4 linked regions of the Saccharomyces cerevisiae S288C genome follow. The gene in region 4 interacts genetically with the main gene of each other region. Each region holds a gene or a part of one and is shown on either strand. Other genes may lie near its edges. The genes, in order: TDA3, ALT2, HXT5 and SRY1.

The links.
Region 1: mutations in SRY1 (region 4) and TDA3 together harm fitness more than expected from each alone (negative genetic interaction), as found in Saccharomyces cerevisiae (2 studies listed by BioGRID).
Region 2: mutations in SRY1 (region 4) and ALT2 together harm fitness more than expected from each alone (negative genetic interaction), as found in Saccharomyces cerevisiae (2 studies listed by BioGRID).
Region 3: mutations in SRY1 (region 4) and HXT5 together harm fitness more than expected from each alone (negative genetic interaction), as found in Saccharomyces cerevisiae (2 studies listed by BioGRID).

Annotation. Positions count from the first base shown.
Region 1 is NC_001140.6:118,864-127,712, forward strand, and holds TDA3 (Tda3p), read right to left. Parts: upstream 6,818-8,849; coding exon 5,246-6,817; downstream 1-5,245. Other genes in the region: STP2 (Stp2p), read left to right, coding at 1-576; ERG11 (sterol 14-demethylase), read right to left, coding at 1,228-2,820; YHR007C-A (uncharacterized protein), read right to left, coding at 3,687-3,902; superoxide dismutase SOD2, read right to left, coding at 4,026-4,727; 60S ribosomal protein eL27 RPL27A, read left to right, coding at 7,658-7,688, 8,250-8,629. UniProt on the Saccharomyces cerevisiae protein: Putative oxidoreductase that negatively regulates the retrieval of cargo from late endosomes to the Golgi. Regulates YIF1 and KEX2 localization. Required for fast DNA replication.
Region 2 is NC_001136.10:676,102-682,075, forward strand, and holds ALT2 (alanine transaminase ALT2), read right to left. Parts: upstream 3,664-5,974; coding exon 2,140-3,663; downstream 1-2,139. Other genes in the region: replication fork barrier binding protein FOB1, read left to right, coding at 1-1,701; PDS1 (securin), read right to left, coding at 4,395-5,516; YDR114C (uncharacterized protein), read right to left, coding at 5,823-5,974. UniProt on the Saccharomyces cerevisiae protein: Inactive alanine aminotransferase. Forms a catalytically active Schiff base with PLP, but lacks alanine transaminase activity, probably due to an altered structural conformation of the dimeric enzyme.
Region 3 is NC_001140.6:291,597-300,662, reverse strand, and holds HXT5 (hexose transporter HXT5), read left to right. Parts: upstream 1-4,215; coding exon 4,216-5,994; downstream 5,995-9,066. Other genes in the region: SFB3 (Sfb3p), read left to right, coding at 1-1,518; PAL2 (Pal2p), read left to right, coding at 2,054-2,178, 2,303-3,278; hexose transporter HXT1, read left to right, coding at 8,038-9,066.
Region 4 is NC_001143.9:14,630-22,835, forward strand, and holds SRY1 (threo-3-hydroxy-L-aspartate ammonia-lyase SRY1), read right to left. Parts: upstream 3,711-8,206; coding exon 2,730-3,710; downstream 1-2,729. Other genes in the region: COS9 (Cos9p), read left to right, coding at 1-1,079; JEN1 (monocarboxylate/H+ symporter), read left to right, coding at 7,605-8,206. UniProt on the Saccharomyces cerevisiae protein: Catalyzes the deamination of L-threo-3-hydroxyaspartate to oxaloacetate and ammonia. Shows a high specificity towards L-threo-3-hydroxyaspartate as other 3-hydroxyaminoacids, i.e.

The sequences.
Region 1 (8,849 bases), on a different chromosome or scaffold from region 4:
CCAGCTTTACAAAATAAGAATTGTATAGAAGCGACAGTAATGCAGTCCAAGGAACGCCCTAATGACAAGATCATACCAACCAAAACCGAAAAAAACGATTTTGGAATAGGCACTCAATGGTTTGAACGCAAACAAATATCAAGACCTACACAAACTACACAATCAAGAGGACCTACAGAAGTCCAAAATCTCAAAGAGTGGTCAATAATATCTCCCCCAATTTTGTCACCCCAAAATGCATCTTCTGTACCACAAGAGTATCAATCATCAAGATACACATTGCATATGGATTCTCCAGCATTATCCTCTGCCTCCTCAGCGCTATCTCCACTTTCAGGCGATCCAATAACAACTACAGAAACAAATAAGTCATACCCATTGGATTCAGAGCAATCGTTGTTGGAGCCAGACAAAACCGAGGAGGACGCAATCAATCAGTCAAAGGAAAGCAATATGATTTCCATTAATGAGATGTTACAGAAGCAAATGGACTTTGAACTTCTGGGTGAGAATCATTTGAAGGAGACTCAAGATTATCTGGCCCTTTACAAAAAAGCTTATGGGATAGAATTTTAAGGTTAATTCAGGTATTATTTTTATGGCGGTTTCAGGTATTTTACGTAATATTATTATTATATCATTTTTGTAGCAATATATTATTTTTAGCGGTGCTTTATAAAACAATGGATACTAAGGATGGTTCAATTCACTCATCATTTGGATTTATCACTATAAAAAGCAGTAATGAATCTTATATACATTTATTTCAGTGAATCCATATTTAAGAGAGCTTCCTCAGTGACCCCTCCCCAAAACTCCTCTCCTCCTGGGCCCTCTCTTGATTAATTTAAATTGCAAAAAGATTTACAAGTTTGCGAAAAGACTGCTTTATTTCCGCTTGGCCTGTGAGCTGTGTGTTCTCTCTTCTAATCCAGTAGGCATGTTGCATAAATAAACCTTATATTTGATGTTGTTTTAGAAATGTAATCTATATATAATTTCGTAGTATAAATATTTATAAATAAAGAAGTGAAACCATACCACTCATAAATAATGCGGGATGGTTGTCCAAGTTTGAAAGTAACTAAAGAACATAACTCGATGTCATATCAAACGTACTGGCAAATAAAATAAATCATTGGAGATGGATGAGTGTGGCGATAAGGCCCACGTGAATGTACAACTTCTCTCTTTTTCTGTTTTTTTTTTTTTTCTCAGTTACAAACCTTAGATCTTTTGTTCTGGATTTCTCTTTTCCCAGATGATCTTGGCTGGACCGGTTGGAAGAGTAACCATAGATGTAAAGTCAGGAGGTGGAACGGTCTTACCCTCTGGGTAATGCCATTTTAATGTTCTGATAAAAATGGACATTAGAACACCTAGCTGACAGTAAGCAAAGTGTTCACCGATACATCTGTGTCTACCACCACCGAAAGGTAAGTATGGAGAGCTGACACCCTTAGAAATGGCACCGAAACCGTAATCGACTTCTTCACCGACGGAATAAGAGGAGGCAGAATCTTTGTTCCAACGGTGAATGTTGAATTGGTGAGCATTAGGGAAGTATTCGTCTCTTAAATGAGTGTAACCTGGAGAAACCAAAACGTGATAACCTGCTGGGATGACATAAGAAGTGTTTGGAACGTGCATATCTTTCATAACCTTACGGAACAAAGAGTGCAATGGATGGTGCATTCTTAGAGTTTCCTTAATAGTTTGGTTCAACAATGGCATTTCTTGTAATAAATCGTAGGTCAATTCCTTCTTACCACCATCCAAAACACGCATTTGTTCTTCGTACAATTCTTGTTGGACATCTGGTCTTTCAGCCAAGTGCAACAAAATCCAAGCAGAAGTGGCAGCAGAAGTATGTTGACCACCCATTAAGACACCAATTAACAAGTTAGCGATTTCTTGATCAGTCATCTTCACACCATCCTTGTAGGTAGAGTTCTTCATCAAGGAATCGATCAAATCTCTGTCTTGAATGTCGTTGTTCTTTCTTCTTTCCTTAATCAAAGACATGTAAGTACCGGAGATAGCCTTTTGAGCGTGATCTCTCTTTCTATAGTGTTCCAATGGTAAGTTAGGGAAGACGAAGTTGATTGGAGTGAAACCCTTATCCAAATCACTGTACAAGTAAGCAAAATCGGTATCCAATTTTGCTCTCATTTCCTTACCCAATAATGATCTTGAAGCGGTGAAAATAGTCATTTCAGGTTGAGTAACCATCACGTCAATAGTACCAGTAGTTCTTTCATTCAAACGGAAGTTTTTGGAGTCTCTGAAGTACTTGTACACTTCTTCAGCAATCAATGGAACGTAGCTCTTGAAGGCTTCTTTGGTTAGAGCACCCTTAACAAACTTCTTTTGCTCCATCAATCTAGAATTTGGACAATCGTAAATAACACCTTTACCGAAAACTGGAGTAGTCAAATGAGCGTAAGCAGCTTCTGCTGAAACATCTGCCAACTTAGCGTTGAAGACAAATTCGTGACCCTTTGGTCCTAAATACACAGTCATGACTCTTCCTAACAAAACGAATGAAAAAATATCACCGTATTTCTTTTGACATTCTTCGAAAAACTCGTATGGCTTCATACCGTACACAACAGCACTACCGACCCATGGAATCCAGTAAAACACTAGAGGTGGACGGTCCTTTCTCAAAGAATATAGTAATTGCCATACAATATTGTAAATGAAAGGAATTATTATGATCAAAGAGATTCTTTGGGCCAATGGTAAAGCCAAGAAATGACTTAAACCAATGTTTACGTATTCCAATGCCTCTCCAACGATTGACTTGGTAGCAGACATCCTTGTATTACTCGTTTGTTCTGTTTCTATTCAAGCCTGCTGCAATTGTGAAGGAAAAAAAATTTTTTCTGGAAACTATTAATTAATATAATGAAAAATTATTACTTCCTATCGAAAATACACACGCTGAACGATACTGCTTATCAATCTTTTTATAAATAATTTACCAATAACGAAAAGGGAAAAAGGAAAAGGGAAAAAAAAAAAGACATTGAAAGAGAGAATTAAGAGGGAATAAGAAAACTAAGGGAAAATACGCTATCTTATATAATGAATACACATGGAGGGCAATTTTTAGAGGCTTTTCGAATACATGCGAGTACGTAAACGTCGTTAACTCGTGGAGATGCACAATAGGATGTGCTCATACCAAGAAAAAAAAAAAATTCAGGCATAAAATCGATGTCTCCTGCAAGATACCTACCACACTTATTGTGTTCTGCAAGAGACTATTGTCATCTGAAAAGCGATTATCTTGAAATCTTAGTTTCGTTTCGTTTCGTTTAGGGCCAGCGCTTCGTTTGTCTCGTTTTTCGTGGATTATCGGCCTTTAAGATTGTCCAACCCGGCAAATCTTGCACGCACATTGTATGTGCGCTGCTCGTATAGTATCCACTTCGTGTGACATTACTATAATCGTACGGCTTAGTCGGGAATAAAGGCTGGCCTCATTTTCGTACAGAGACATTTTGCCGGAAATTTCGTATTTTGCTGTGCCCCCGGTAATTCCCGGGCGCGGCACAAAACCTCTCTAAACAACCGCCCATTGTTGCAATTGTTCGTCTGTACGGGACAGGCGGCGATCATAACGTCGCACGGTGCACAGCAATTGCCGTTTTCGGAGATCTCCCTGAGTAAGCAGTCGTTTACGACCTTAATGGCTTTACAATTATCGGTTGGAACAATAACAAGAACAATTGGTTCTCTGCCTGGTGGTGAGTTAATCTGGTGGGAATGTAGTGCACAGGCGCGAGTAACGTAGGAAGCGAGAGAGAACAAGGAAAAAGAAAAAGTGGAGGAAGGTTGGTTGTATTGTCTTTTTCGGTTCTTTTCTTTTCTTTTTTTCTTTTTTTACGATGCATGTATATGTATTTTAATAGTAAAATATATTATTAAATAGGGGAGTGTGGTTGTGTGATTTAGTAGAGTAGTTAGAATAAAAACGACACAGTGGAAAAAAAAAGGTATTTTCTTTCTTTCTTTCTTCAGATCTTGCCAGCATCGAATCTTCTGGATGCTTCTTTCCAGTTGACCACATTCCAAATGGCTTTGAAGTAGTCGGCTTTCTTGTTTTGGTACTGCAAGTAGTAGGCGTGTTCCCAGGCGTCAATGGCAACTAGAGGAACTAGTGGGCCTGTGACGGTATCCTGGTTGTAGGTTTGAACAACGTCCAGCTTGCCTCCATTAGAGAGGTTTTTCACAATGAAGGCCCATCCGGAGCCCTGCACGCCTGCTAGCTTTGTGTTGGTCAACTTAATCAGCTCGTCCAGACTGCCAAACTGCTCGTCGATTGCCTTTGCCAAAGCGCCGGTGGGTGGTTCACCACCGCCCTGCGACTCTGGAGCCAGGTTTTCCCAGAATAGACAGTGGTTTGTGAAACCACCGCCATGGAACTTGATGTTTTGTTGGATAGCAATCATTTTTCTTGCGTTTGCGGGAGAGGGCTCCTTGGCCAGAAGATCTGAGAGTTCTTGGAATTGGTCAACAGCAGTGTTGAATCCGTTCACATAAGTTTGATGGTGCTTGGTGTAATGCAATTCGTTGATTTGACCGGAGATATAAGGTTCCAATGCACCGAAGTCCCACTTCAAGTCTGGCAAGGTGACTTTGGTTCTCCTTGCTGTGGTGGAGAGCAATGACAAACCACCCTTCTTGGTTAAATTAGCAGCTGCTGTTTTCGCGAACATCCTGGTACGTTTTTAGGAGGTATAGTTATCAATTGGGGTTTCGTTCCTGTAGCAGCAAGTGAAAAGCAATCGCTGTAGCTAGCTTGTATATTTTGGGGATGCAACGCTCTTATATACAAGTTATAGCTTCTTCATCAGGGGTGTCTGCTACGGTCGCGGAAATTTTTCGGCACATCCCTACTTTTTTTTTTGCGAAGCTAGTGGTTCGGCCTGTGTTATTGGTCCAGGTTTAAGGTCGCGCCAACAATGATAATAGCAATTAGTAATCAGCTCAACCTCAAGTAGAATACTACACGTGCAATCGGTAGCATGCGCAAGGGCAAACAGGATAGACGCCAAGAGAGAAAGAGAAAGAGAGAGAGAGAGAGAAAAAAAAAAAAGAAATATATAGATTTAGGTATTCGTTAAATATATACACATTAAATGGCCTCAGAAATTTTAAATATATAAATAAATAAGCTCTTATATGTACAAATTTGTGCATATACTTTTCTTGACCTTTTTACTCCTCGGCTTGATTAAGAAAGGATGGTGGCGTCGAAATATAACTTTGGATCCAAACTTGAGATTTCCGCAGAGGTTGCTTCGCCATCAAGGAGAATCTCAGCCATTAATTTACCTGTTGCTGGCGCATTGTTAATACCCCAACAAGAATGTCCACTTGCAATATAAAGATCCTTGACATTTGTCTCACCAATTAAGGGACCAGAACTTGTAGGAACGTTTAAAACTGGCAAAAAACAGGCTTGTTTCCGCAAGAGATGGCCCTTTGATAGAGTTGGCGATAATTTGGATACGTAATGGTACAATTCATCACACTTCTCCGAAACTACCTCCACATCGTCCGAACTTTCAGGTATATTGACTAAAGTGTCGCCTTCGCCGCACACATAAACTTCATCTTTTCTAGCATACATTTCAGGGGAGAAAAATTCACGGTCGTTAACTTTTAGTTCAGCAAGAATAGCGTAAGGTGAAACTGTCTTTTCACTAGGCTTAATGGTGACAGAGTGGGCTCTCAATCCAGAAATTGGACAATCTTTTAGAATCTTGGAAGTCCAGGGTCCCATACTCAAAACAATCTGCTGGATGTCATTGATTTCAATGGGCTTCGCGTTCTCATCGTTGAAGATTGTACCCAGCTTAATGTCTGGATTTTCTGCATGCCCTCTGCTATTTCTGCGATTCTTGACGACAGATGGAAGGTACTTAAGAGAATGAACACAATCCATCTCGTCACACTTTAGCCCAACTACCTTACCTAGGAGAAGATCGACAGCACCTGTTTCCATTGCCTTCGATAAGATGAAATGGGTGAATTTATAGGGATGAAGCTGCGCTGTGGTATCAGTACCACCTAGTGATGACCAATCATTAACCAATTCTCTTCTTATCCAATCTAAATCAGCAGGCAAAGGATTATGGATATTAGTCTCTCTCAGTTGCTCCACGGGACTTACAGAGTCAAGATCAGATGCGCTATTTGTGTGGCTTCTCATGCGCTCATTTGTTAGAGAGTGTAAACTGGGTACTGAGCTAGAAACATGAATGTCTGATCCTTCTTCCTCGTTACTAGCGGAGTCGTTTTTCAAAGAAGAGCCCGAAGAACTCAAAGATGAATTAGAGTCCCCGATGTTAAACTTGTTGGATATGTAGCCCGGTCTCTTCTTTGGAGGAGGGACATTCAGATTATATGCCTTCTTGCTCAGTCTTTCGTAGTTTTCAATGACTTCTTCGCGAACATCTGCTTCTAAGGACACAGTCGTCAATCTTCTGTAGTCCCAGTTGTTTTCTCCATCATATTCATCACTCAACTCCTGATGTAGCTGGAAACTTAAAGGTACGATTTGGTGAGGGAAAGCCCAAGATGCAAGCAAGCCACCTGCTTTACCAGAAGCCCCTCCAGCAATGCGCCTCGATTCAATGATGGTAATATGATGCGTCGAAGGGCTGAAACTTGGATGCTGGGTCAAGTAGTAAGCAGTACAGCAACCGATGATACCGCCACCTACAATGACAATATGTTTTTTCCCTTCGCTGTTCTTTGAAGGGTACGTTTGAAACGGTGGGTGCATAAAATCTTCACCCATTTATAAACACTATTCCTTCTGTTGCTTGGTTAAAATGCTATTGATACTTAGATGGTGTATTGGAGAGCACGAAAATCTTTTGCTGAGTGACTTGAACTATCAAACAGAATTACTTGTTGGCTGATTTTTTTTAAGTCTTGATTTAACAATAGAAAAAAAAAAAAAAAAAAAAGGAACAATATAACTTTTGTAGTACGTGTGCCAGGTTACAGATATGGTTTCACTTCTATGTCGTGCTTTTTTCATTCATACGTAATCTTATGCATGTAGGGGATAGACGCACAAAAGCACCAAGGCTGCATGTATTGATAAATTGGCTTACACGATTCCAGCTAAGGGGACTCGGACGGAACCGTCTCATATTATACGTTCAGTGAATATTTTTCACGGAAGAATGGAAAGGGCCTCGAAAGACGTTAATGCATCCGTACACCTACATCTTTACATTTTTTGCTGTTGCACCTACACTGTTTTTTTTTTTTTCACCTTATGAGTCCTGTATTTCTTGAAAGAGCCGATAACAATATTCCAGGTGGAGTCCCGAGGCAGAATCAAGGCTGCGGAGAGAAGTTCCTCTCAAACTAATGGGAGTGATCCGCTCAGTTCTCCCATCACGACAGAACTGTCTGAGACAAAGTCTTTCCAGCAGAGCTCCGCCTACGCTCTTGCTGCAGAGATTCGCCCGAAGGCAGGTTTCCTGAAATTCTTTTCACTAGTAAAGTGTTCGTTCATGTAAAACATACTGCCGTAGTTTTGAGCTAAAATTAAAGATATATTAGATTTTTAGAATTTCTTAGATAGTCTCAACGTGTTAAAACAAAAGCATAACCAAAGAAAAAAATGGCTAAGTTCTTGAAAGCTGGTAAAGTTGGTACGTATCATTTTCAGTTTTTGGACATCAACAAAAAACCGTGCAACTGTGGTATTAGAAATCCAAGTTATTAGCAGTTGATGTTGTATAATTTGAGTTTGAATTCGAGTATTGTATCTTCATATGGGAGTAGGGAGGAAAAAGCGTGGAGATGTTAGATCTGGGAAAAAACCTTTAAATTTGAATGATAGCTTATTAATAGAAATATTGGACAAAAAGATGAATGATTTAGGAGCGAAACTAACGATTATTCATATTCATTGAGCTATACGAGGCAGTGGAAGGGTTATCAAAAAGTTGTAATTTAAAAGAAAAAAGCATCAATAGCCACCAAATAAGATGGTGAAAGTTCCGCGATATATTTGCTAAGACCATAGGCACATGTACGCAGGCGACCAGGGCCTTTTATTTACTGTAGTTCTTTCCATGCCCTATTAAAAATTCGTGGGCCTATGATAATTTTTCTCTCCCTAGTATTGAAGAACAAAATTGAGAATTCGCCAAACTTTAAGAAGGGTTCACATTTACTAACTATTTCTTTTCCTTCCTTTTTTTACACAGCTGTCGTTGTCCGTGGTCGTTACGCCGGTAAGAAGGTTGTTATCGTTAAACCACATGATGAAGGTTCCAAGTCTCACCCATTTGGTCACGCTTTGGTTGCCGGTATTGAAAGATACCCATTGAAGGTCACCAAGAAGCACGGTGCCAAGAAGGTTGCTAAGAGAACCAAGATCAAGCCTTTCATCAAGGTCGTCAACTACAACCATTTATTGCCAACCAGATACACTTTAGATGTTGAAGCTTTCAAATCCGTTGTTTCTACTGAAACTTTCGAACAACCTTCCCAACGTGAAGAAGCTAAGAAAGTCGTCAAGAAGGCTTTCGAAGAAAGACACCAAGCTGGTAAGAACCAATGGTTCTTCTCTAAGTTGAGATTTTAAGAGAATTGCATTATGGTCAACCAAAAATCAAAAAATTATTAGTAATATCAACATATGTATATTTAATGTATGTAAACAATGATTAAATATTAATAAAATATATCTACATATAAGTATACGCAAATGGGGTTTTTCTTCAAAAAAATTGTTTGCTGGTGTTTTCAACCTTAACGACAAAACGAATCATAACGCGGTAAAGGGGAACGATAATATATAATGG
Region 2 (5,974 bases), on a different chromosome or scaffold from region 4:
ATGACGAAACCGCGTTACAATGACGTGTTGTTTGATGATGATGACTCGGTACCATCAGAATCAGTTACGAGGAAATCGCAGAGAAGAAAGGCAACGTCACCTGGGGAATCAAGAGAGTCCTCAAAAGATCGTCTACTGATACTTCCCTCTATGGGGGAATCATATACTGAGTACGTAGACTCTTATTTGAACTTAGAATTATTGGAAAGGGGAGAAAGAGAAACACCAATCTTTCTTGAATCTCTGACAAGACAACTAACGCAGAAAATATATGAACTAATAAAAACAAAATCTTTAACTGCAGATACCTTGCAACAAATAAGTGATAAATACGATGGTGTAGTGGCAGAAAACAAGCTGTTATTTTTGCAAAGACAGTATTATGTTGATGATGAAGGAAATGTTAGAGATGGCCGAAATAATGATAAAATATACTGTGAGCCAAAGCATGTATACGACATGGTGATGGCAACACACTTGATGAATAAGCATCTTAGGGGTAAAACATTACATTCCTTTTTATTTTCTCATTTTGCCAATATTAGTCATGCCATCATCGATTGGGTCCAGCAATTTTGTTCAAAATGTAATAAAAAGGGCAAAATTAAACCATTGAAGGAATATAAACGTCCTGACATGTACGATAAACTACTACCAATGGAAAGGATACATATTGAGGTATTCGAACCCTTCAATGGAGAAGCTATTGAGGGAAAATATTCTTATGTCCTTTTATGCCGAGACTATCGCTCTAGTTTTATGTGGTTATTACCACTTAAGAGTACCAAATTCAAACATCTTATCCCAGTTGTTTCCTCACTTTTTTTAACATTTGCTAGGGTTCCAATTTTCGTAACATCAAGCACTTTAGATAAAGATGATCTTTATGATATTTGTGAAGAAATTGCATCAAAATACGGTCTCCGTATTGGCTTGGGTTTGAAGAGTTCTGCGAGATTTCATACTGGGGGTATACTGTGCATTCAGTATGCTCTAAATAGTTATAAGAAGGAATGTCTAGCCGATTGGGGTAAGTGCCTAAGATATGGCCCTTACAGATTCAACCGAAGGAGAAATAAGAGAACGAAACGTAAACCTGTGCAAGTACTACTTAGTGAAGTTCCAGGTCACAATGCCAAGTTTGAGACTAAGAGAGAAAGGGTTATAGAAAACACATATTCCCGTAATATGTTCAAGATGGCAGGTGGAAAAGGTCTTATATATTTGGAAGATGTCAATACTTTTGCCCTTGCTAATGAAGCGGATAATAGCTGTAACAATAATGGAATTCTTCATAATAACAATATAGGAAATGATAACTTTGAAGAAGAAGTGCAAAAACAATTTGATCTAACTGAAAAAAACTATATCGATGAGTATGATGATTTGGCACATGATTCTTCAGAGGGCGAATTTGAACCTAATACCTTAACTCCCGAAGAAAAGCCTCCTCATAATGTCGATGAGGACCGAATAGAGTCCACCGGCGTGGCAGCCCCAATGCAGGGAACAGAAGAGCCTGAAAAAGGGGATCAAAAAGAAAGTGACGGTGCATCACAAGTAGATCAAAGTGTCGAAATAACTAGACCAGAAACTTCCTACTATCAAACTCTGGAATCGCCGTCAACAAAACGACAGAAATTAGACCAACAGGGTAATGGAGATCAAACAAGAGACTTTGGCACATCAATGGAATTGTAATAATATGTAGGATAGAATGAAAGGAGGAGTCACCATAGGTGAAAAAAAAAAGCACCTATTGCATATAAAGTATTCAAAAAGGTGTTGAAAGCTCTTCCTGTATATGACCCTGTATTTAATGTACGCGGTTAAAAAATTTTTATATTTTTAAATAAGTATCAACTTGGATAATATGATCTTGCCCGCAAGGTGGTTTTATATGAATAATTACTTTTTTTTTTTTTTTTTTTTTTTTTTTTTTTTTTTAATTGAACAATAGATGCAGAGGAATGCTCCAAAATTTATTTCCTTGAACAATATTACAAGAGGCAGATATATACTTTTCCTTATTTCCCTTAGTAAAGAATGATGCATGTATACTATTACAAATTTAAACTTCACCCCCACCATGGATGCAAAACAAATAGAAAGCCATTATCATTAGTTTTTTTTTTTCATTCAATTACGATACTTGCTGAAGAAATCTTGATGAAATTCTTTCCAGTCTTGAATCCATTTAGTCCCTGGAGCCAAAAACGTTGTTCGCACATGATAAGTCCCGGGTCTTTGTCCGAACCCAGACCCTGGGACAGTACAAATACCTGTAGATTCTAGCAAAGATGTGCAATAGAACTCATCAGGTTCGATGCCAAGGCGTTCGCTTTCACAAAGAGCTTTCTTAGGTAAAACAAGCCTAGGGAAAAGATACATTGCACCCTGAGGTTTTTGGCATTCGATACCCTCTAGTTCCTTAAACGTCTCGTACAATAAGTTTGCTCTCGTACGCATTTCATGAAAAATTTTCAGCCTTTCGTCATGATCTTGTTCATAGGACTCGTCTCCAGGCTGGGGTGGTTTGACCATTAAATCAACCACAGCTTGTCCTGTGACAACAGAACATATGGATATAGACATGAGTTTGAAAAGAGCATCTCTTATTTCTTGAGAAAACCCAATAATTTCCATGTAACCGCCTCTTTGGCCGCACTCATCCATGAATCCTTTAGAAATGGAGTGTAAAGAGGCGAGCTGAACGTTATCGAATTTTCCTGGATAAAGATGCTGCAATTTTCTTAGGACTTTCTTCATCGAATGAAATTTAACATCGTTGAAAATGTTTTCTTGATAGACCTCATCAGAAATGATTGTAATGCCGTATTTCGCAGCGATCAAACAGATCCTGGCAATGGTTTCTTCAGAAAGAACTGCACCGGTTGGGTTACCTGGATTAATAACTATCAGCACAGATGGTCTGATCTGTTTTTTCAAAGCATCTTGCACTACTTTTTCAATTTCGTCGCTGTTTGTAGACCAATTTGACTCCTCATCTAAGTAGTATGGCAGCACTTGTGCATTGAAAAGAGATGCGGATGCAGTATAAAGCGGATACTGCGGAATTGGAATCAGCAGGCCTGTTTGAGAATCTTTACACAATAAAGATAACAAAGAAGTTGCCGCGGACGAAGCGCCAGTGGTTAAATAAATATCTTCCGGTGTAGCGGGCTCACCGCCGTCTCTTCTAGTAATGAAGTCAGCAACTGTTTGCCTTATTCCTGGCACACCTTGAGAATGCGAATATGCCCCTATAGAACCGCCAATATCATTCAAGAGGCGCTCAGCTCTTTCCAAGGCGTCCCTGGAAAACAAGTTCAAAGAAGCCAGTTCATTATGGCCTACTCGTAAAATTTCCGGGTACTCCAGGATGGCCAGTACTTGCCTGGTAAAGGTCAAAGGCTTCTGATCCAGTTGCTGCGGATTACCAATGTTCGCATTGATAATATCATCGAAAGGCAAAACTTCTGGGTTTTTTTTCAATTCCTCTTTTAGCTCGTCAGCTCTGGTTGGAATAGCTCCTCTTACAGCATATTCTGCCTTAGTGACACCTGTATTCAAATCTTTTTTAGTAATCTTGCCAGCGGGCTTAAAATCCAAATCCTTTGCGGTGAACACACCTTTCAAATCCTGTTGGTGTGTCATTGTCATGTGTTCTTACTTCTTCTGTGTTTACCACTTACAAAAACAACACTACTGTGGCGCTCCTTCCCTTTATTCTTATCTTTTATGCCTCTAGAGATATGAGGAAATATTGGGGTATTTACTGAATGAGAAAAGGATGATGTCAGTCAAGAAAGGATCAAAAAGAAAAGTGAACAGAATATAGTTCCCACACGAAGTAGTAAATTTAGCTATCCTAAAAGTGTATTGGTAATTTGAAGAGATATGTAGATGTACATATGGGACCATAAGAGTAGGAAAAATAAAATAAAATCGCCAAACAAGTAGGAGAAGCCTCAAGATACAAGCCGTTTCCATGGAGAAAATATTGCGAATGAGGCCAAACTTGAACTTTTTTTTTTTCTGCTAAAAAATTCAGAAAAAAAATGAAATTATTTTCTTAGGTATAATGAAGTAATTATGACGAAGTACTTTGAGAACCCATAAAGAGAAGCAATTGAAGACGTGTGGAGGACATCAGCCCGCAGCACATTAGTAGAAACAATAGTATCGTGATGTGATCCCTCTTGGACCCTTTGCCAATCAAGGGTGAAGCGAAGCCATTTAAAACGTACGAACAATGGCGGTAGTTGAGGTATGGGTGAGGCCGCAGATTAAATCCCGGCGGCAGGAGCAACCGCTTTTAACCAGAATTGTATGTTATAAAGTATCTGTATATACGTGTATATATGTTGTGTGTATGTGAATGAGCAGTGGATCTAAGTAACTAAGTCCTCTAGTTCTTCAGGATCGAGGCCTTCTTCGCTGTACACTAACTCCATGGTTGGGACGGCGGCAACTTCTTTGAAGTTCTTAGACAGCAGTGGTAACGCTGCACCTTCTTCTTGATTCCGAGTGATGCACTCAGTCTCATCTTTTTCGCCTTCTTCATCAATTTGTTCTAGTGGGAGTAAATCAACTTTATCTGGGGTGTCATCTTCGTCTTCCAAGTCAAGCTTATATGGTGAGTTGAACGTCTTCAGCTTTTCAATATCATCTTGTTGAAATGGGGAATAGCCTTCTGGTACATACGGTAACGGCTCCTGCCTCTGTGGTGCTATTTCGATATCATAGTCATCAGTTTTATCACTTTTATCGTTTTTAGTTTTTTGCTCATTCTTCGTGGAGTTCTTTATGAGTTGTTGCAGACCACCTTGCTCATTAAATAGTCCTAGGCCACCATTTAATTCATTTTCACCGTCGGAGGAATCCTGTTTTAAAAGTGCACTTTGGAGTTTTTTGCCAAGTTTACTCTCGGAATCTTCATTACCTTCATCATCGTCGGAACTCTCTTCATTTTTACCTGAATCTGCAAGATCTTTTAAAACTAGACTTTTCATTTTAGGTAAAGCATTATAACCAAGGACAGAACCGTACTTTTGTAACTTTCTTGAATTGCTTAACAAATCATTATGGTTGGCCCTACTACGACTGCGAGAAATTTGCGAAAGTTTCCTGAGTTGGTCGTTTTTGCGTATAGATAGTGTATTCTGTAGTTGTGGTAAGTCTGCATCTTTACTCTGATTAGAAGTTTCGGGAAAAATAAAGCTTTTCGATCTATTGTTGTCTTTTGCTGCCAGAGGCAATCTTCCTTGTTGTTGCGCATGGGTATGCAACCTTTTTGTGGGTGACACCTCCTTCCCTCCTTGTATGTACTTTAATGTGTTGCCATTGTTGCTGTTCGCATCCCTTTTGAGTTGGTCCAATCTTACAGGTGGTTTTAAAATATTAGAGTGCGACCTTTTCAGCAAGTGAGCCGGCGTCTGTGGAAAGTTAATGCCGGAACTTTCATTCCCTGTATATACGATATTATTCTCTTTATCTTCGTTAGCTGGCATCATAAAGGTTTATTATCTAGCACTTAATCTAGCTTGGTACCGCAGAAGTGTAATAGTATGTGAATGGGAAAAACCGCTAGCAACCGTTACTTGCCTTCGCCGAATATTGATTTAAAGCTGCATTTATTTTGTTTGTTTATTTTGTTTGTTTTTCTTTTTGACCTCTTACACGAGTTTTTTGACGCGTTTGAGATCTTTGTGTGAAAACGATAAGCAACCTACGCTAACAAATACACACGTCGCACGGAAAGTGATAGTGAAGCAGATATTTCTCGCAAATCCTATGTTATCCGTAAAATAAATCCAACCCTAAAGTATTAACATGTAACAACTTAAGCGCTTCCTTAAGACTGTATAGATATATATATATACATATATATACATAATCATGAAACGCATCGTCGAAAGGTCATTTGAAGCTCGGATCACGTGATCGAAAGCTGTAAGGAATTTGAAAAGCC
Region 3 (9,066 bases), on a different chromosome or scaffold from region 4:
GACACAGTAACTGGCGGGCAAGGTGGTAAGATTATTTGTTCTTTGAACAGCTTGCCAACGATCGGCAACGGGAATTTATCGCTAAAAAGGGACAATGCACACATTGCTCATGTTAAATGCGACAATGGGTTCTATAAGAAATTAGCATCGGATTTTTTGAAATCCTACATTTCTTTAGATTTATATGTGACCAATGCGGGATTCATTGATATGGCCACTGTGGGCCATCCTGTAGAGATGACTTCCGGTATTTTGAAATATTATCCCCACTTTCAACAAGAGACGGATGCCTTCACTTTGGTTAACGACATGGTTACAAATGTCTCCAATATTGTTGGTTATCAAGCTTTATTGAAAGTTCGCTGTTCTACTGGGCTATCTGTGGAACAGTACTACTGCGATTCATCTGATAATACGGATCATGATCCAATTATTCCTGTATTGACTAGAGATACCACCTTAGATGTCTTACTAAAATATGACAGTAAAATAAAAACAGGAACCGATGTTCATTTCCAAACTGCATTGTTATATACTGATATTGATGGTGTCAGAAAAGTTCGTTCTATTAACACGTCAGGTGCGGTATCTAATAACATTCGTGAAATTTTCAAGTTTATAAATCAAAATCCTGTCATGAGAATAATGATCAAAGATGTCATAAAGACGCTCGGTGATTGTGACTTTGTAAAGATCAGAAGATTAATTGATGACAAGATGGTCGAAATCTTGACCCAATATAGAGGATTGGTTAGCAGTAACTCATCAACGCAATTGATACTGCCGGATTCTATAAAGACATTGCCTGCTTACATGTTAGCATTTGAAAAAAGCGAATTAATGAAGCCAAACGCTCAAAGTACCCGTGGTAATGAACGAATTTATGATTTATTGAAGTACGATTCATTGAACTCAGCACAACTTTGCTACAAACTTTATCCACAAATTGTGCCATTCCATGTATTATTAGAGGAAACTGATCTGACCTTTTACGATGCTAATGATAAATTATTACAGATCAACTCCAGCTCTATTAATAATCTATCTGTAAGAGCCTCACACTCTAATTTCATTAACGGCGGTTGCTACTTGATTTTCCAAGGTGATACTATCTATCTATGGTTTAATGAGAACACCAATAGAATGCTCTTGCAAGACCTGCTGTCAGTGGATGAATCCTTGCCCGTCAGCCAAATTTCGTTATTTAGTGGAACATTGCCTGAGACGGGCACTAGTATTAATCAAAAGGCTTCAAACGTCATTAAAAACTGGCAACAAGTAGTCAACAAGTCATCATTGCCGTTAGTCTTGTTGAGGCCTAATGTTGATCAATATTACAGTAATGTGATGAGTCAATTGCTTTGCGAGGACAAGACCGTCAACAGAATCGAATCATATGACAATTACTTGGTGATAATGCATAAAAAAATTCAAGAAAAACTTCAAAAAGACGATTTCATTAAAGTCTCGACTGCCGCAACTCACGAAAATATCCATCAAAAATTTGTGCAGTTTTGAGCCTCGCTCAAAGGAGACCCTGTGCTTACACGCAGAAAACTGGAAATAACGACATATTGTTGTGGCTGTGGCCGATGCGGTTCGTATATCCATTACTAAATAATTAAATACGTAAATGAATGAATAGACTGATATGATTGTGATTTTTACGTGTTGGCTATATTGTGCCTTTCTGCATTCACCTGCGCCTCCTCATGTAGAAAGGCGTTGATCAAGGGGAATACAGGAGAAGTATTTTTGGGTTCGTGTTTTGGTGGGGTTCCAGCCACAGAAGGGCTCTCGGCAGCGAAACGCTGACTATGCTGAGAATACTGCCAAAAAAAAAAAAAAGGCAGTATGTGAAACGCAGGCAGAGAAAGGGTGAAATTCTACATAGGATGAGAGAATCTCATAATTACAGGGATAAAACTGTAGCTTTGCTTCCTCTTTTATCTTTATTTTTTCTTGACTGTCTTCTGGTAAATCTTGCAAAATTACTACTATTTTGTATTTCAGAAGCGTTTTTTCCAAAGAATACTATATCAAACAGACGCAAATGAATCAAACAGGAAGGACCATAGGCGGTCCTCAAAATGGCGTGAATACAGTGATTAACCCCTTCAGAGTTTCTCCTTCAGAGGACAGAGTATCAAGCAGGGATGAAACGCCCAGGAATTATAAGTATGTGTAGCTCCACTCCCAAAATTGCACTACAGTGTAACTAACAGTCATGACTACTTCAGAATACTAACTTAACTCTTTTTCTCCTTTCAAAATCGATTGAGATAATCCATAATTATTGCAGTAACCCATTTTTAAATGAAGATGACACTAGGAGGGCCCATAACAGTAGCGTTTCCAATTCTAGACAAGAAAGACTCCCATCATATGAAGAAGCTGCGGGGACACCGAAACAGCAAGCTCCATACCCAAAAGAAAAGAAACGCAGTAGTGGTTCAAATAGTCACCAACACAACCACCACCACCATCGTCGTACATCACACGGACATAGGGACAAAGATAAGCAGAAGAGCAAAAGCAGAACCAAGGTTAAGCCCCCTAAAAATGTAGACACTATTGACAAGATGGATGTTACAGGATTATTTGGCGGATCTTTCCATCATGACGGCCCCTTTGATGCATGCACTCCACAGAGAAATAAGAATAATAAAGTGGCGCCTGTACTGGCCTTCCCAGCAGATGGTCCAAATAATACAGTAGGCGGCCGCACAAGTAAGAAGTCTACCTTAGATGAGGTGTTTGGTAGGGAAACAGTAGACGACGATTCTGAGACGCTGAACCAACTACAAGATAGAGCATATTTATTCAATAAGGCCAATTCCAGTACTACGACTTTGGATGCGATTAAACCGAATTCAAAAAATATTACCCAGTTCGATTCCAAAATGAAAACTGAACTAGTCCATGGGCCCATTACGATGGGTCTAGGCTCAACGACGTTCCTGGATGGCGCACCAGCGTCTTCCGCTGCCATAGAGCAAGATGTTATCAACCACGCACAAGAATCTCGTAGGAAAAACAGCATAGCAAGAAAAAAGTCTCTCCCCTCAAGAAGACATCTACAAGTGAACAACAACAATTTAAAGCTAGTGAAAACACATAGTGGACACTTGGAGCAAAAGGACGTAGACGATAATAGAACTTCTGTTCCGGTCACTGCCACCCAAGGAAGCGGTCACGAAGATGTTGTTAAAAAGGAAAACACCGGCAACAAGCTATTAAGGAGGGTGAAAAGCTTGAAAACTAGTAAAAAGCACTGATCAATGCTTCTTTCTTGCGTTCTTTTTGTTGCGCCCATATATTATTTTATTTATTACATTCATATAGCAATATTTACCTTATTTTATTGGTTACTTTTCTATACGCAAAATCACTACACTATGTTATGTTAAGGTCTCCGATACGGGAATATACCAATCAATACTTATCACTTCGGATTTTTTATGGGTCTTATCCCCACTGTTCCATTTTCTTGTTTAAGGCATCCCGGAGGATAAACTAAAAAGGTGGCCCATCCCACCCGAAATGAAAGTAATCATCTGCTAGCAAAAAGTAAAGAAATGAGAGCATGCTGTGATGTACTGGTGGACGAAATTGTGACCCATACCCACCGAAGAAACATCCGCATGACGTGTTACTGTTACTTCCCGGATTAAGGGATGCATTCTAACTCTGTGCGCCCTTTTCTCTGCAGTTGATCCGCATTCCCCGTGGCTGTGCACATTAGGGGACAGTAAGTAATTCACTTTCTGATCCCGCACTCATAGCGATGGAATAATATACCGGATTTCACACCTTGTTATTGAGTGAAGTACTGCTTGGTGAAATGATATCTTTATGTTCAATATTAATGGTCGTGTGGATGAATATATGGGCATGGGTTAATTAGTTTTAGGGGCACGGAGTAAACAAGAAAGGAGGGCCAGAATCATTAGTAGAGTACCTCAAGTTTGGTTTCTTTTTGATTTCACGTATAAAAGAGTCTCTCTCTTTTCTTTTCATGCTAGTCGAACGGTTCTCCCTCTAAGAATAAGAAACTATCAAAAGAAAGAGAAAAGTCGATTGAATAATTTTTCTATATATAATATACGCAAACAAGATTCGCTTTCACTTTGCAATTTTACTTCATAGCTTTGTTAAAACCAGCAAAAAATATTATTTTTCTAGAAAAAAGAATATATTAGAGGTAAAGAAAGAATGTCGGAACTTGAAAACGCTCATCAAGGCCCCTTGGAAGGGTCTGCTACTGTGAGCACAAATTCTAACTCATACAACGAGAAGTCAGGAAACTCGACTGCTCCTGGTACCGCCGGTTACAACGATAATTTGGCACAAGCTAAACCCGTCTCAAGTTACATTTCCCATGAAGGCCCTCCCAAAGACGAACTGGAAGAGCTTCAGAAGGAGGTTGACAAACAACTAGAGAAGAAATCGAAGTCGGATTTACTATTTGTATCCGTCTGCTGTTTGATGGTTGCTTTTGGTGGGTTCGTGTTTGGGTGGGATACTGGTACTATATCTGGTTTTGTCAGGCAAACAGACTTCATTAGGCGATTTGGCAGCACCCGTGCAAACGGGACTACCTATCTTTCCGATGTCAGAACCGGTTTGATGGTTTCTATTTTCAACATCGGCTGCGCTATCGGAGGTATAGTTTTGTCAAAGCTCGGTGATATGTATGGACGTAAGATTGGTCTGATGACTGTTGTCGTCATTTACTCAATTGGGATCATCATCCAAATCGCCTCCATTGACAAATGGTATCAATATTTCATTGGAAGAATCATCTCAGGACTGGGCGTTGGTGGTATTACAGTTTTGGCGCCTATGCTAATTTCTGAAGTGTCGCCTAAGCAGTTGCGTGGTACTCTGGTTTCATGTTACCAATTAATGATCACTTTCGGTATCTTTTTGGGATATTGTACTAATTTTGGTACCAAGAATTACTCAAACTCTGTCCAATGGAGGGTACCATTAGGCTTATGCTTTGCATGGTCTATTTTTATGATTGTTGGTATGACGTTCGTTCCTGAATCCCCACGTTATCTGGTAGAAGTGGGAAAAATTGAAGAGGCCAAGCGGTCCTTAGCAAGAGCTAACAAAACCACTGAAGACTCTCCTTTAGTAACTTTAGAAATGGAGAACTATCAGTCTTCTATTGAAGCTGAGAGATTGGCGGGCTCTGCTTCTTGGGGGGAATTGGTTACTGGTAAGCCCCAGATGTTCAGACGTACACTAATGGGTATGATGATTCAATCTTTACAACAGCTGACAGGTGACAATTACTTCTTTTACTATGGTACTACAATTTTCCAGGCTGTTGGTTTGGAAGATTCATTTGAAACTGCTATTGTTTTGGGTGTTGTTAATTTTGTTTCGACTTTTTTCTCGCTATATACCGTCGATCGTTTTGGTCGTCGTAATTGTTTGTTATGGGGCTGTGTAGGTATGATTTGTTGCTATGTCGTCTATGCCTCTGTTGGTGTTACCAGATTATGGCCAAACGGTCAAGATCAACCATCTTCAAAGGGTGCTGGTAACTGTATGATTGTTTTCGCATGTTTCTACATTTTCTGTTTCGCTACCACTTGGGCCCCCGTTGCCTATGTCCTTATCTCTGAGTCGTATCCCTTAAGAGTACGTGGTAAAGCAATGTCGATTGCAAGTGCCTGTAACTGGATTTGGGGGTTCTTGATCAGTTTTTTCACTCCATTTATTACTTCAGCAATCAATTTCTATTATGGCTATGTCTTTATGGGTTGTATGGTGTTCGCATACTTTTATGTGTTCTTCTTTGTTCCAGAGACAAAGGGCTTAACATTAGAAGAAGTCAACGAAATGTATGAAGAAAATGTGCTACCTTGGAAGTCTACCAAATGGATCCCACCATCTAGGAGAACAACAGATTATGACCTAGACGCTACTAGAAATGATCCGAGACCATTTTATAAAAGGATGTTCACTAAAGAAAAATAATCTCTTGTAGTGTAGGATCAACTATTTTCGCATACTTGCAATGTTCAGCATTGCACCATTTCAAATTTTAATATTAATATTAATCGTTTTCGTTCATATGTTCATTCATAGTTTACAAATAATGCAATCATATGCAGAGATATTTTGTCCGTGGTTAATAGGGCTGCCTGTTATTCCTTTAATTCAACTAAATTACGTATGTCTAATAATATCAAAATCATCATGACGTTTTTGTTTTTTTTCTTTATTTTAAGTAGGATCAAACCAGGGGAGAAAGGGTTGCTACGCCTAACAACAAGAACTTGTATATCGTTTCTTGTTACTTATACTTTTCTGCCCACTTCTCTCTTACAACTGCTCGAGCTCATCCTTGGTAATAAAACAGTGAGGACGGTTACTCGAGGTTTCAACAGGGGAAAATAAATTTATATGATGAATCAAGAGCCCCGTTCTTTTACCGTATTATCCTTCATACTACATACTAGGGAAAGAACTGAAAACTCCGCTACCTGCTGTAACAGCGCATAATAAAAAGCAAGAATATAGACAGTTACTGTTGTTTACGTTCTTTGATGACATCATTCTCATCAGACATACAGAAACACATCCTTTTTGTCTACCCCGTATTTATTCCAACTTCAAAGTATAGGTACCGTCCGGTTATACTCTCATATACTTTGTGGCAGTTTGCTTCTTTAAACCTTGTTAACCCAGAATATTTTCAGTGCAAAAAGCTTCCGATCCTCAAATACAGTGAGAGAAAAAGCAAACTTGTCTTCATTATTTTTCTGTTTGGCCCTGTCACGGTTCTTTTTATGGCCTTCTCGAAGGATATCCGTAGTCAATTATATTCACGTAGTTGCCAAAAGTAATTTTTGGAAAACTATTATTCCTCCGAGAAAACCTCACACAGAAATCCTTGCAGGTCTCATCTGGAATATAATTCCCCCCTCCTGAAGCAAATTTTTCCTTTGAGCCGGAATTTTTGATATTCCGAGTTCTTTTTTTCCATTCGCGGAGGTTATTCCATTCCTAAACGAGTGGCCACAATGAAACTTCAATTCATATCGACCGACTATTTTTCTCCGAACCAAAAAAATAGCAGGGCGAGATTGGAGCTGCGGAAAAAAGAGGAAAAAATTTTTTCGTAGTTTTCTTGTGCAAATTAGGGTGTAAGGTTTCTAGGGCTTATTGGTTCAAGCAGAAGAGACAACAATTGTAGGTCCTAAATTCAAGGCGGATGTAAGGAGTATTGGTTTCGAAAGTTTTTCCGAAGCGGCATGGCAGGGACTACTTGCGCATGCGCTCGGATTATCTTCATTTTTGCTTGCAAAAACGTAGAATCATGGTAAATTACATGAAGAATTCTCTTTTTTTTTTTTTTTTTTTTTTTTTTACCTCTAAAGAGTGTTGACCAACTGAAAAAACCCTTCTTCAAGAGAGTTAAACTAAGACTAACCATCATAACTTCCAAGGAATTAATCGATATCTTGCACTCCTGATTTTTCTTCAAAGAGACAGCGCAAAGGATTATGACACTGTTGCATTGAGTCAAAAGTTTTTCCGAAGTGACCCAGTGCTCTTTTTTTTTTTCCGTGAAGGACTGACAAATATGCGCACAAGATCCAATACGTAATGGAAATTCGGAAAAACTAGGAAGAAATGCTGCAGGGCATTGCCGTGCCGATCTTTTGTCTTTCAGATATATGAGAAAAAGAATATTCATCAAGTGCTGATAGAAGAATACCACTCATATGACGTGGGCAGAAGACAGCAAACGTAAACATGAGCTGCTGCGACATTTGATGGCTTTTATCCGACAAGCCAGGAAACTCCACCATTATCTAATGTAGCAAAATATTTCTTAACACCCGAAGTTGCGTGTCCCCCTCACGTTTTTAATCATTTGAATTAGTATATTGAAATTATATATAAAGGCAACAATGTCCCCATAATCAATTCCATCTGGGGTCTCATGTTCTTTCCCCACCTTAAAATCTATAAAGATATCATAATCGTCAACTAGTTGATATACGTAAAATCATGAATTCAACTCCCGATCTAATATCTCCTCAGAAATCCAATTCATCCAACTCATATGAATTGGAATCTGGTCGTTCAAAGGCCATGAATACTCCAGAAGGTAAAAATGAAAGTTTTCACGACAACTTAAGTGAAAGTCAAGTGCAACCCGCCGTTGCCCCTCCAAACACCGGAAAAGGTGTCTACGTAACGGTTTCTATCTGTTGTGTTATGGTTGCTTTCGGTGGTTTCATATTTGGATGGGATACTGGTACCATTTCTGGTTTTGTTGCTCAAACTGATTTTCTAAGAAGATTTGGTATGAAGCACCACGACGGTAGTCATTACTTGTCCAAGGTGAGAACTGGTTTAATTGTCTCTATTTTTAACATTGGTTGTGCCATTGGTGGTATCGTCTTAGCCAAGCTAGGTGATATGTATGGTCGTAGAATCGGTTTGATTGTCGTTGTAGTAATCTACACTATCGGTATCATTATTCAAATAGCCTCGATCAACAAGTGGTACCAATATTTCATTGGTAGAATTATCTCTGGTTTAGGTGTCGGTGGTATCACAGTTTTATCTCCCATGCTAATATCTGAGGTCGCCCCCAGTGAAATGAGAGGCACCTTGGTTTCATGTTACCAAGTCATGATTACTTTAGGTATTTTCTTAGGTTACTGTACCAATTTTGGTACCAAGAATTACTCAAACTCTGTCCAATGGAGAGTTCCATTAGGTTTGTGTTTCGCCTGGGCCTTATTTATGATTGGTGGTATGATGTTTGTTCCTGAATCTCCACGTTATTTGGTTGAAGCTGGCAGAATCGACGAAGCCAGGGCTTCTTTAGCTAAAGTTAACAAATGCCCACCTGACCATCCATACATTCAATATGAGTTGGAAACTATCGAAGCCAGTGTCGAAGAAATGAGAGCCGCTGGTACTGCATCTTGGGGCGAATTATTCACTGGTAAACCAGCCATGTTTCAACGTACTATGATGGGTATCATGATTCAATCTCTACAACAATTAACTGGTGATAACTATTTC
Region 4 (8,206 bases):
TTGTTCTGCCTCAAGACCTTTTCATGGATAACTTCACCTGGATGTTTTATGAGTTCTTCAAGTGCTTCACGTTTCGTACCTGGTTGCTATTATTACTGCTAATGTGGTTGCCAGGTTTTCTTTCGCAGATAAAGTCCATCAATCGGATTTTTCCGTTTAAACTTTGTATTTTAGTCTCATGCCTAGTGGGGATATTTTTACCCAATATTTATTCATTCTCTCATAAAAGTGTGTTAACGAATCAACTTACTCAGTTCTCCAAAGAAATTGTTGAACATGCACCAGGTACTGATACTCATGATTGGGAAACAGTTGCGGCAAATCTAAATTCTTACTTCTATGAAAATAAAGCTTGGAATACTGAGTACTTCTTTTTCAATGCTGCAGAGTGTCAAAAAGCATTCAGAAAAGTTCTTCTCGAACCATTCTCTGTGAAGAAAGATGAATCTTCGAAAATAAAATCATTTGGGGATTCTGTCCCCTACATCGAAGAGGCCTTGCAAGTCTATTCCACAGAATTTGACAAAAAGTGGAAGTTGTTCAATACTGAGAAAGTGTGGAGCCCTGATAACTTGGAACATGTTCAGCTCCCCAAGAAAACTTATCGTTATAAGTTTACCTGGGTTCTCAAGAGGATTTTCAATCTCTGGCTTTTTCCAGCATTTATTCTGTTTCTGGCTTGTATCTATGTGTCATGGGATAAGGGCCATCTATTTCGTATCTTGTGTTGTGGGGGAGGTTTTCTCCTTATGGTAAGAGTTTTTCAAAATATGAGGCCCTTTTCCATGCACATGGAAGACAAAATGCAGTTCTTGTCAACGATTATAAATGAGCAAGAAAGTGGTGCGAATGGATGGGACGAAATTGCAAAGAAAATGAACAGGTACTTGTTTGAGAAAAAAGTCTGGACTAGTGAAGAGTTTTTCTTTGATGGGATTGACTGTGAATGGTTTTTTAACCACTTCTTTTACCGCCTTCTATCTACAAAGAAACCTATGTTTGATAGACCTCTAAACGTGGAACTATGGCCATACATTAAAGAAGCGCAATTGACCCGCAAACAGGCGCCTCCCGTGTAGGAACAAGCATGCCTTTTCAATTTATAGATCGTGTAGTTTATTAGATGCGAATAGCCTAAACAAGGTCGCTTATTATTATTATTACAACTATTCTTTTTCCTATTCCCCTCTGGTTAACAAAAACCAGTATATTAACAGAAATAAATAATAATAACAAAAAAATATGAATATAAGAATAAATTGCAATAAATAGTAATATTTATAAAATATAAAAAGAAGAAATTTTTATTCTTTTTATATTTTATTATAAAATAGTTCAATTATTTATATTATTTAAATGTTGTAATTTATTATTAATAATTATATTTTATCAATATTTATACGATATAAAAATTTAAAAAAATTATAATATAGAAATAATAAATAATAATAATATGATAATAAAATAATATATAAATAAAAATGATAAGATTATATTAATTTATTTAATTTTCAAATTATTAAATAAATAATAACCTAATACTTACTTTTCCTAATATTATTAAAAATGGTTATTGTCAAACCCATTAACTGATTATATTATAATATTTCAATATTTAATTCACTTAATTTGTTGTTATAATAATTAATGAAATAGAGAAACTATAATCCAATTGATTGTGCAACAGTTTGATCTTCCAAATCATAAAAGAATATTGAGTGTTAGTTGGTACTGGTCATAACTATCCATTTTGAACATAACCATGTAACTCTTTTCCCGTCTACTGTTAATCAAGGGAACATGTTGAAAGTTATATCAATACATGTGTTGAGTATTTCACGCGAATTTATTGCTACAAAAGAGCACTAAGTAATACATCGTTAATTTCTGCGGTAGAACTGACCTGGTGACCTTGCTTGATGCTTTATTGTTTGTGGGATCTGTCACGTATATCGCCATATTTTTTTCCTACGGATATAATGTAAAACACTAATTTATCCTTCAGGGTTGCTCTTTAAAACTCAATTGTTGAATAACTTGGTATTCATATATGTGGCTGCTGCGAATATCTTGACACATATTATGATTATCAAAAAAAAGTGAAGAACTAAATTTAGGAGGATTTCTACAGTTTTGGTCTTGGTTAGGTAATAATTCCTTAAAATAGAGGCTTATCCTTTCCTGTGGACCATAAATATCTTCATGCAAGATCTCGATTGATTAGTAATAAGAGCAGACGATATTGTGTGTGGAAAAGAGAATTTTTTCTGCGTATAAAATAGGACATTATGACAGTTACCTTTAATTGAAGTAGAGATATGTTTTTTCAACTTAGAAGCTATGTCTTTACTGGGTGTAAGCCTAGGAACGCTCTTCTGTTTTAGTTCAAAATATGCAAAAGAAACTAATATACCAGTAATGCTCATAGTCACAGTCAGAAGTTATATTATTAGTTTGACATAAGCAGTATTCTTCCCTCTCACACACTATCATTCTGCCAAAAAATTTTCCCACATAAGGGTGTCAGTTCAGTGAAATATAATACTAGTAGAAAAATATGTAGAGTTATCAGAGTATAAATCAGCTAGAGGCTTTTTTTGCTGAACTCACTTCAAAATCTCAACCATGTTATTAATGTTAAGTCAAATGATATATGCCGTGTGAAAGTAGACAACTAAAGCTTTCCAATTCTTCACTATAAAACTGAACTCAAAATTCAAAAGTATACACTAAATCGTTGGGCCATCTTCCTTCCCAGAGATTAAAGTAGCATATCTCTTCATGTCTACATTACCTCCACTTAGTATTATGCCTACTTTCTTCCCAACTAGCTCTTCCTTTTTTAGAAGTGCACCTGCAAATCCCAAACAAGCTGTGGGCTCAACAACCACCTTCATGCGTTCCGCAAGAAAGTGCATGCATTTTACTAGCTCTTGGTCGCTAACCGTTAAAATATCATCGACATTTTCGCGAATAATGGCAAATGTGTACTCACCGAGGTGTTGTGTTTGAGCGCCATCTGCGATAGTTTTTGGCGTATTGATATGAACAATGGAACCCGATCTGAAGGATTGTTGTCCATCGTTACCAGCTTCAGGTTCAACCCCAAAAATTTTGCAGCCTGGAGAAAGGCTTCTAGCGGCAAGTGCAGATCCTGAAAGGAGCCCACCACCGCCCAAAGGAACAAATAATGCATCAAGTTGTCCAACCTCTTCTAATAGCTCTTTTGCCGACGTACCTTGCCCTGCAATAACATCAGGATGATCGTAGGGCGGAATCAATGCAAAACCATGTTCGGCTGCTAGTTGACGCCCAATCTGCTCGCGATCTTCAGTATACCTGTTATACCTTATGATATGTGCTCCGTAACCGGCTGTAGCAGCAACTTTAAGGGCGGGCGCATCCTCGGGCATAACAATTGTTGCAGGTACATTTAATAGTTTTGCACTAAGAGCAATAGCCTGTGCATGGTTTCCTGATGAGAAGGCAATTACTCCCTTACTTCTTTTTTCATCACTTAATTTTGAAACAGCATTCATTGCTCCACGAAACTTGAACGCTCCCACTCGTTGGAAATTCTCACCTTTAAAGTATATTTGTGCTCCAAGTCGATCATTAAGCATTCGTGAAGTGAGAACCGGTGTTTTATTTACATATTCTTTAATTCTGTTGCTGGCATCCAAAACGTCTCCATAAGTGGGAACAATCATTTTTCCAACTCAATGAAAACTAAATATCTCGAACTATATTAATTATTTGTACTTTTTAAGTTTTTTTTCAATACTCCTTTATTTGAATTTTTGCAGAATGAAAATGTAACTCTTTATATTCCAAAGCTTATCTTTTTCTCACGTACCGTCCTATAGACCCTGATTTTATGATAAGAGGCTGAATTTACTAATTAGTCATTTTTTTCAGTTTTTTTGTCATAGAAGCCACATTTAAAAGAAGTCAGCCAAGTTACCTGTAAATATTAAAACAACCTGCTTAGAATGACTGTTAATTTACAGAATTTACGATAAAAATATAACTTGGCTCTAGGGCGTGATGATAGTGACAAAAAACTCGTCAAGTAAATGTTGGGAGCTTACTTGCCGTCGTTTTCTAACGCCAAAATACACGAATCATGTTTGGGAAATATAAGTGATTAGAACTTGTCCAAGGATATTGTCAAACAATAACATACTACAATAATCCTAGATCGTGTATTATTTGCGTATGGATAAATATACCTCAAGCTTTATGAGGCATAGAAAATTCATTAGAGTCACTACTTACGTCGCACTCTCGAGGATTGGAATGACGAAATCTTCTTCAGCATTTCACCATTCACCTTTTGAAGCTTCCTATCTCGTTGCTTAAGTAGAATGAAAGCATAGCAGCCCAAAAGAAAAGCCTCCCTCAGCAAGAATATTAACAAAGAACAATTCATGGACCGTTTCTACTACTTAATATCTCTATCACAACTGTCAGTCTCAATCAGTACTTAAATGACGCTGCAGAAAAAGATATCATTATTTTTATCATCCCCCTAATAAAATAAGTAATGAATCAATGCCATTAATTCGGGAACTAGTCATATACCTAAGGAATCAGGCTTTGATAGCTCTTTAATAATAATATTAGGGCATTTTTGATATGGTAAAAGATTAGATTAGGAAACCCCTTTTGTAGAGCATCTCACTACAATATCTGCAAAAACGGTCACCTTGCATAGGCAGAACACGCTACCTTTGAGTTAATTCACAGGGGAGAGCCCTTTTTTTTTCTTAGCAAAAGTGCTTAACAATCTTAATTTCTGGAATGTTTTCGGCGGATTGTTGTATATTGTTTGAATTTGTTCGTTCTAAAAAGTGAGACACCTGCACTTTCCACGCCAAGAACACTAATACCTTTAAACATGCCAGCGTACTTTAAAATGCCACGAGTCGCCCCGTACCAAACATGCTGGCGATTGTAATTTTTCGCCTTTTATTGGAATCGAGAATTCGGGCACTGTCCTTTTCTTCGTCATTTCAATGTTATAATCATTTTTATCGCCAAATTTTCTTCAATAAAAGGTCTCTTTTAAAATATGTTACTATGTTTTTTATTTTTCTATTATTTTTCTATGTGATTTTTCAGACGATTTATTCTTTGTTCGAAGGAGAACAGATGCAACGGTCAAGTTTTTACTATCCACATGAGGAGCCGTAATATTCTAAAGGCAAAAGCATGTGTGCTTGTAAAAAAAAATCAAAAAAAGTTACTGCTCCAAGCCAGCAAGCTTTCTCTTTTGCGAAATCTTTAACACGGTTAAAATCAAAGACAATTACTTCATTGACAAGGTCAATGCTAATATTTACGGTCTCCGCACGAAAGACTCTGAAAAATGTTAAAATTTATAGTGGCTAATGCTAATTCAAGAATAGTCTCGGGTTGTTTGATCACATTATTTTAATTTTTATTGAGCACTGAATAGGACCCGTATGTTCCAATCAGTCTATTTCTTGCAACTTAATCTGGTTTGTTTTTAGGGGAGTGGCATTTTTTTTAGGGTTATTCAAATATTCAATTCTGTAATTTGCTTACGACAAAAAGAAAAGGAGAGATGAAAAAAGGGCGACGGGTATAATCTATTCAGCCGCCAATGTCCCGACGTATGCCAAAATGTGGTGCCGCGGTAACAGTAGCATCACACAGAGCATGAGAAAAGCAAGAAAAGTGGAAGTCTGTATGTCACATTTTTATTGAAAATGCTATTTGCTATAAGGTTCGCTATTCAACTGATTGAACCGAGATAGACAAAATGTTAAACTTTTCATAGAGACGTTATTGTGATAGGGTTTACGCTGAGAATGGTTGAAACATACTTGCTAATAAACCACGTCACGTCAAAATATCAGTTTTTCTTTTTTAGTTATTCCCTTCTCACTTTTGACTTGAGATGAGATCGTTACACTTTTATTGAATACGAACGGATCACGATACATCCACATATACGAATGTTCGGCCAGACAGGGCATCAGAGTATATACCCTTTTTCCTAAAATGGAAGGGCCCTAGATCGTTGGCATCAGCGGTTACCTAACCGAAGTGGATCAAATCAGCGCCTATTTTTCCGTTTAGAACGATTAGATGCCGTCAATATGTATGTGCTTACTGTATCATCCACGTAGTAAAGCTGGGGCGTAGCATCCCTAGGTTACTTTCTCAATACTGGGGTCCCTGACCAAAGATAAAACATAACCTATTATGGCGTACGAGTCAAAGTTAAACGCTATTTGACTCGGGCAGCATGCATGACCCGGGGGAATGGAAAACTTCTCATGGCTACCCCAACGAAGCCAGACAAGATCTAGGAGATGTCTCCACCTTCCGAGCTACACTCTCACATCTCTTACATAGACACTGTGAAGTAAGTGATTGCACACAATCCAAAGAAGCACATCAAATAATATGTAAATATTACCCGTACAAATGGCAAATCATGTCCACTTTCCCGTTAGTCATCGGGTGGGCCGGTCCTCGCACTTTCCTTTTGTTTCGGATGTTAATTAATATATAAATGGATCTATAATTTTCAAAAGGTATAAACGCACAGTATGAAAAATATTGCAAGAATAATGTGTTTATAAATTATTTTTTTTGCTGGTAGCAAAATCAACTCATTGTCTTCCATTCAGAGTCTAATCGAACGTTATCGCAATGCTTGCACACTTTTAAACAATACGATTTAGTTTAAGTGGATGGACCCCCACGCTTAGTGTTCCACAGGTTTGTCCCCACTGTTTTTACATTCCACTGTACATTTTTGCAATAGAAGGTCATTGTATGCTACCTTGGGCGGCTAAGAATACCTGTAAAAATTTGGAGAAATTAGATTCGTAAAGAATGACTCGCAACGACTCCAATGATTTCTTCTTTTCACCCTTTGAACGGCCGATATCCGCGCGGGATCCTGACCCCGCAATTTACTCCACTAGACCGGCGTGTTTCTCTTTTTCCTTTTCCTGGGGTTAGAGCCCAAGAGCTAATAGCCGACAAACGGACTCCAAAAAAAAAAGGAGGCACAGGACAAACGCAGCACCTGCGTCATTCACGCTGAAGCGGCAGCAAGCATTTTCGATCAGCTCCAATTAAATGAAGACTATTCGCCGTACCGTTCCCAGATGGGTGCGAAAGTCAGTGATCGAGGAAGTTATTGAGCGCGCGGCTTGAAACTATTTCTCCATCTCAGAGCCGCCAAGCCTACCATTATTCTCCACCAGGAAGTTAGTTTGTAAGCTTCTGCACACCATCCGGACGTCCATAATTCTTCACTTAACGGTCTTTTGCCCCCCCTTCTACTATAATGCATTAGAACGTTACCTGGTCATTTGGATGGAGATCTAAGTAACACTTACTATCTCCTATGGTACTATCCTTTACCAAAAAAAAAAAAAAAAAAAAAAAAAAAAAAATCAGCAAAGTGAAGTACCCTCTTGATGTATAAATACATTGCACATCATTGTTGAGAAATAGTTTTGGAAGTTGTCTAGTCCTTCTCCCTTAGATCTAAAAGGAAGAAGAGTAACAGTTTCAAAAGTTTTTCCTCAAAGAGATTAAATACTGCTACTGAAAATATGTCGTCGTCAATTACAGATGAGAAAATATCTGGTGAACAGCAACAACCTGCTGGCAGAAAACTATACTATAACACAAGTACATTTGCAGAGCCTCCTCTAGTGGACGGAGAAGGTAACCCTATAAATTATGAGCCGGAAGTTTACAACCCGGATCACGAAAAGCTATACCATAACCCATCACTGCCTGCACAATCAATTCAGGATACAAGAGATGATGAATTGCTGGAAAGAGTTTATAGCCAGGATCAAGGTGTAGAGTATGAGGAAGATGAAGAGGATAAGCCAAACCTAAGCGCTGCGTCCATTAAAAGTTATGCTTTAACGAGATTTACGTCCTTACTGCACATCCACGAGTTTTCTTGGGAGAATGTCAATCCCATACCCGAACTGCGCAAAATGACATGGCAGAATTGGAACTATTTTTTTATGGGTTATTTTGCGTGGTTGTCTGCGGCTTGGGCCTTCTTTTGCGTTTCAGTATCAGTCGCTCCATTGGCTGAACTATATGACAGACCAACCAAGGACATCACCTGGGGGTTGGGATTGGTGTTATTTGTTCGTTCAGCAGGTGCTGTCATATTTGGTTTATGGACAGATAA